Linked DNA regions of Macaca mulatta. The protein of the gene in region 1 purifies or fractionates together with the protein of each later gene. This does not show direct contact. Links are inferred from orthologs where the notes say so. Each region holds a gene or a part of one and is shown in the gene's direction. Other genes may lie near its edges.

What was found.
Region 2: the proteins of STK3 (region 1) and RASSF3 purify together in Homo sapiens (affinity purification with mass spectrometry; 4 studies listed by BioGRID and IntAct, with this or other methods). This does not show direct contact. The link is inferred for Macaca mulatta from reciprocal best matches to the Homo sapiens genes STK3 and RASSF3.

Annotation. Positions count from the first base shown.
Region 1 is NC_133413.1:108,839,518-108,842,183, reverse strand, and holds the end of STK3 (serine/threonine-protein kinase 3), read left to right. Parts: intron 1-1,497; coding exon 1,498-1,656; 3' UTR 1,657-2,134; downstream 2,135-2,666. UniProt on the Homo sapiens protein: Stress-activated, pro-apoptotic kinase which, following caspase-cleavage, enters the nucleus and induces chromatin condensation followed by internucleosomal DNA fragmentation.
Region 2 is NC_133416.1:71,736,150-71,739,898, forward strand, and holds the start of RASSF3 (ras association domain-containing protein 3), read left to right. Parts: upstream 1-911; 5' UTR 912-1,049; coding exon 1,050-1,160; intron 1,161-3,749.

The DNA of each region.
Region 1 (2,666 bases):
AATGGGAAAGATTAACATGAGCTGAAATAGAGATGATGTTGAAGAACACACAAGTGGAATTGGATCCTACGTAGACATAGTTGGGTGTGTCTTTCTTGGGAAATGTGGTTGTGTGGTATACATTGGCCTTTCAGTATGGCCATTACTGATGTGTACAGTTCAAAGTTTGGAGTTTCCCTGTTTGTCTTATTCTGTATCCCCGCAGCAATTTGAACAGCACTGAGCATGTAACAGATGCATGATCACTACTTGGATTAAAAGTCAATGAAGAAAGTGTATAATAATACATATTATATATAAATGTATCTTTTATAGCATAATATTAAAAGCTAGGTTCTTTCATGACATATGACTACAAAGTAACAGGGCTGATTATTAATATACATACCAGAACTTCTTATGTACTGAAGTGAGTGGCATTCACCTTCAAAGTCATCATCATGGAAGCCTGCATACTCTTCTCCATATACTGTCATTTCTCAAAATATTTTTGGAACTCCTTTTTTGAATTTCCTTCAAAGAGTCTGTGACTCATTCTTTTCAGTATCCTCAGAGTCTTTTTCAGCTAAGAGTGAATTTGGTTTTTGGAAGCAGAAGTCACGATAGGGCCAGGGATGGCGAGTAAAAGGATCTGCTGGGACATGCTACTTTGGATGACTATAAGTAATGAGTATTTTTCTTCCTTGACTCATAAAATAACCAAAGACAGTTATCTTTTTAAAACAAAAAGTAAGTTGCAAGTTTTATCATTTTAAAACCAAGCCTTAGCTGGGTGCAGTGGCACATCCCAGCTACTGAGGAGGTCGAAGGAGGAGGATCTCTTGAGCCCAGAAGCTTGAGGCTAGCCTGGGCAACATAGTGGGATCTTGTCTCAAAAAAATAAAAAAGAAGAAGAAGGAGAAGGAGAAACAAAATCTGGATTACTCTTACATAACTGTCCTACTCCAGAATTGATCATGGCTTCCTACTTTTGGGGCCCCACCAGGCCTATTCAGCCTTACTTCCCACCCCCTACCACAGTCATCTTCTTTATTAAGCATTTGGTAAAATGGAGGATAGAATGGTTAATTTAACCTTTATTCAGTCTTGTCATGTTCTTGGGTGATCTCTGCAAGTGTTCATTATTATTGTAGCACTCGGTAGCTGGCAAAGATGTAAGAAGTTAGAGTGAATATACCTGGAACGTATTCTGAAAATCTGTTTGTTGGCGGGGGTGGATTTGTCTTTGTACCTTTTTACAAATTCTATCAGCATATTTTTCTCATTTGCCCTTTACTAAAGGCAGATGATCCGATTGTTTCATTGCAGATTACTTGAGGTTCTTGCAAGATATGACCTCTGGGTTCTTCAAGGAAGAAATTCCTGTTTTAATTGTTGAACCATACTTCGAAGATGATGTAAAGAATTTGCTGAAATATTTATGTTAAAACTCATTAGACATTAATGTGTTGTGGATAATTTCACTATATTGATATCTTTGTTTGTTTCCATATCTAGTTGAAAAATCTAAGTTTAGAAGAACTACAGATGCGATTAAAAGCACTGGACCCTATGATGGAACGGGAGATAGAAGAACTTCGTCAGAGATACACTGCGAAAAGACAGCCCATTCTGGATGCGATGGATGCAAAAAAAAGAAGGCAGCAAAACTTTTGAGTCTAATTTCCTGTCTGTTTTTAACTATTCTGGAGACCAAGAAACCACTAGGAATTGAAGGAATATTTGTATATTTTTAATCCTAAGATTTTGCCCTACAATTAGTCAGAGGTCAAAAACTGACAATGGTACATGCCCAGGTAAATTCCCAAAAGGCAGAATTGACAGTTGTATCTGCTGTGCATTCACTTTCAGATGAGGAGAACAAAAGAAGTGTATTCTCTTGTTCTGTCAGCTGCATACCAGCAATAAAACTGTGTTTTGAAACGGAGGCTGCGTTTAGAGACCTTGAAAATCCAAAGCTATTGTTTAATTGTGCAGCACTGAAGGGCTTTATGTTACAATATTCTTTATTCCTATCTAGTATACTAGTCTATTTATTGTATCCCCTTAGGTAAACTTATTTATTTATGCTATTTTGCTTTGTTTTGTTTTTTAAGGACAAGATCAGGATAGCTTTGGTGAAGATAGGGTCATATTAATATGATGATAATGTGCAACCAAATTATACTTTCTGCAGGGAGCTATGGGGTACATTCCTTGATTTCCAGGATAGTTTTCCAGTAGGAAAGTAATAATGGCAATAGTTCTCAAATGGGCTAGGCCTTTTTTATATCGAAGCAATAATTCCATTTTTACCCTTTGAAATTTTGTTTAATTTTTTGATTTTTGATGTTTGGTACAAATAGAACTATATATATTTAGGTAAAATAGATCTATCGTGTTTAAAACCAAAGAAATCAGTGGAATCCTTGCACAAAAAAGTATGATAAATATTTTTTAAAAAAAACTTAATACAAATGTAACTTGTTAATATTGTTTTATGTTTTATGTGTAGATCTAATAGCTGAACTGATTCAAACTGTAATAAGCTCATCAATTTCATTTCTATGAAAATGTGCTCTATTGTCACAGGATGTTTCTGTTGATTTTATTCATTTCCTGGGAATTGGTAAACATCATGTGCCTGATGATAACCCAGTAGCAAAAACATTTGTACTGAGTGGTAC
Region 2 (3,749 bases), on another chromosome or scaffold:
AGAGGATTAGCTGACTGGAAGAATTTTAGAAAACATGGAAACTTTTTTTTTGTACGTGGATGAATAGAATTCCCTGATCTCCTTATCCCCACCACTTAAACCATGCCTGTGGGTGACCGTGGAAGGCTGATTGTGGCGGGGACATTTACAAAGCACATTTAATTAATAAGCACTCGATTGTTCTGTAACTATAGAACTAGTTCACCCTTCAGTTGCACTGAGTGCGCCTAAGATAACGATCTTATCTGGAAGTGAGCCCTCGCTAGAAAGAAGGGGAAAAGGATAAGACCGAAGCTCAAATGAATGACCAGAAAGGATGTTTTCATTCGAATAAACTCAACCCAGTTGTTGACCTCCGCACCCATCTCTGCCAACTTGAAATCCTCCAGGCGGGGCGAGCTGCTGGGGTTCAGGACGGCTGCAGGAAGCCGTGGGACGTGGGGGGCCCTTCCACAGGGCCGGGCAACCCCCACCCACCCCCACCCACCCCCACAGGACCCTGGGAGGGGGACGAGCAGGGTGTGGACAGCAGAGAAAGTTCCCCGCTCTGCCCCCGCCCTCTCCGAAACTCGAGCCAGCAAGGCTGGGGGCGGGCGGACGGCTCGCAGAGGAATTTGCAGTTTCCGGGAGGTTGAGGAAGCGACCCGAGCACAGCTCCACCAGATGCAGCCCTAGTGCCCGGCTTTCCGGGTTCCGCGACGCTGCCGGGAGAAACCCGCGCGCCTGGAAGGGGCGGGCTGGGCCGGGCTCCCCCCACCTGCGGGCGGGCGAGGAGGGTCGGGCCCGCGCCGGGTGGGGCTCGGCCGGTCGCCCGTCCGGGGCGGAGCCCAGGGAGGCGGGGTCGAGGGCGCACCGGGGCCGAGCCGCGCCTGGAGCCGGGCGGGGAGGCGACGGGAGGGGCCGGGACGCCTGATTGAGCGGCGGCCGCAGCTGCAGCAGGACGGCCCGGGGCCGCGCGCCGGGAACCTCGCGGGGCTGGCGGGCGCCGCACCCCCTCCCTGGCCGCCTGCGCCCCCGGGAGGCCGCCCGGGCGCTACGGGACCGGCAGCATGAGCAGCGGCTACAGCAGCCTGGAGGAGGACGCCGAGGACTTCTTCTTCACCGCCAGGACCTCCTTCTTCAGGAGAGCGCCTCAGGGCAAGCCCCGCTCCGGCCAGCAAGTGAGTGCGAGCGGCGGGCGCTGCAGTCTGCGTCCCGGAGCTCCAGGGAACCCGCCAGCCCGCACCCCCTGACTCCACGTGTCTCTGCGGGGCGCTCGGGGGATGCTCGCCGGGAAGGAGGAACGGGCCAAGAAGTGGCTTCTGCCTTTTCGGGTCCCGGGAACGTGCCTGGAGCTTGTGCATGTGGGCGAGAGAAGGCGGAGGAAGGGCGGGGAGGCTGAGGGCCGGCTTCTGCCTTCCGCGCCAGATGGCCTCTGCAGCTCCATCTCGGGCCGCCGCCTGCGGGGAGCAGTCCCGGAGCCAGCAGGCGTCCCCGGGCCTCTCCCCCATGTTTCCCCTTAGCGTCCCCGCTGGGTCGACGGTCGGGTTCGCGCGCCTGTCCTTCCTGTTAGTCTGCTCACTCATCTGTGGCCCCCGGAGTGGCTTGGGGTCAACGTGTAATAGCTAGGGGTGGCCAGGTGACCTGGCCTCCCCTCTTCCTGGGCCGGGCGCCGCGGTGGGGTGGGGGTCCAGGGGTACCGCGGGCCTCGCTACCGTAGGCGCTAACTAAATCTCGGTTGCGGGACTCAGGGTTGTGCGTTTCCTGTAACGCTAGGTTTTTTGGTGCCCAGATGTTTTGCAAACAAGCTCCGATGCTAAATACTAGCCAGCGACAGCTAACCTTTTGGCCGGTTTCTTCCTTTTTTGGAGGCAGCACGCCGTGGGAAGCACGACTTGGGAAAAGATGGGAAGGGAACTTGTGCCAGTTTCGCCAGCCGTAGCCGTGTTTCTTAGGGAGGCCTTCCCGAAACGGGGCACGTCGGCTGGACTGAGGACCCCGGTGCTAGAACCCGCGGCCTCCTGGCACTGGGAGCCGCACCAGGGAGCCGGGCCAACCCGCTCACATCAGATTACAGAAGATCGTAATGGAACAAATTTGTTGCTTTTAGAAAATAGGCGTTTGCCAGACATTTCTATTAATACCAGACTGAGACCTAGAGACTAGAAGCAAGAAGAATCGTTCAGGGGCCGGATGATAACTTTTTCTGGTGGGTGTGGGAGGGTGCAATCTGTCAGGGTGGTCTTGCCAGACCTCTTAAGTTTAGCCACTTGCTGAAGTAAAATTCTTTCTAAAATTCGGAAGTTGTAGTCTTTTCAGGCTCTTAAGTCTCAAACCAGGAGGAGGAGAGGAGACGGTGAAGGGTAAGCTAAAGTCAAGTGCCCTTATTCAGTAACCGCAGTTAATCTCCAGTCAAGTCCCAGTGCCATAGTTGTCCGTCTTGTATTGTTTCTAAGACTTAAGGCCCCACTATTTACGAGTCACTTTGAGTGGGATCTCTTACTTTCCGCAGAGTGTGTTCTAAAAGCATGAGATTTTGCTGTGAAGTTTGGAAGTTGGAAATGCCCTCCCCTCCCCACGCCTACCCTCCCTGGGTTATAGAAAAATTGCATTTGCTTATGCTTTTTCCATTTTGCTTTTCTCTTTCTTGGCTCTCTCTTCCCCTTGTCCGTTTTGCATTTTCTCCTTTCGTTTATGTTGCTTTCATCACTTGACATGAAAAGGAACTCATGCTAGTTTGAAGTTTATTCCAGAGGTGTCTGCTAATCTGAAAACTAGCTGGTTCTTGGATTCTCCAGGGGTGAGATGCCACAAGGGCCAAAGTATTCAGATTGGAATTGTATGACAATCCTTTAGTGCTTTAAAGAGTAAAGACATCAGATTTCTTTTCCAGGTTTATATGCATTTAGCATTTTTTTTTTTTTTTTTTTTTTTTGAGATGGAGTCTCACTGCATTACCCAGGCTGGAGTGCAGTCGTGTGATCTCAGCTCACTGCAACCTCTGCTTCCCTGGTGCAAGCGATTTCCTTGCCTCAGCCTCCCAAGTAGCTGAGATTACAGGCATGCACCACCACATCTGGCTAATTTTTGTATTTTTAGTAGAGATGGGATTTCACCATGTTGGCCAGGCTGGTCTCCAACTCCTGGCCTCAGGTAATCTGCCAGCCTCGGCCTCCCAAAGTGCAGGGATTACAGGTGTGAGCCACCGCCCCTGGCGCATTTATTGTTTCTATGTTGTATGCATTAATTTATGTAATATTCATCTAGCATATATACTCAGGGTAGTAGTATTTAGCATTTAGAATTAGTCTAACGTTAATATGTATTTTGAAATAATGTGTTGGAAATCAGGACAGGAAAACATAGTTCCGTGCTTGAAGAGCTTCATATGTGTATCTGAAGTTTTATTGCCTGCATATTTTTCCCTTCTAATATAAGACATGTAAGGTGCTGAGTTGTAGGAGTTATTTGCCAGGCGAAGTGTTCTAAACTGAATTTTAGTGGGCATTGTGGTTTATTTAAAGAGGTGATACGAATGTTTTAAAATTCCTGGTAAGATTGGTGAATTAGGGAAGTAAAACATCATAAATTTAAAGCAAAGCGCTCTTAATGTAGAACGTTTCTTTTCTCTAAGGTTAGATAAGCTTTTTTCTTCATTTTCATGCTGATGATTATAAGAATAAGATAAGCACTTCTGACATATAGCATAGTAGTGAAATTTATCCTTTCTCTAGAGAGATGGAAAGAGAGGTGTTGCTAGAAGGATCTAT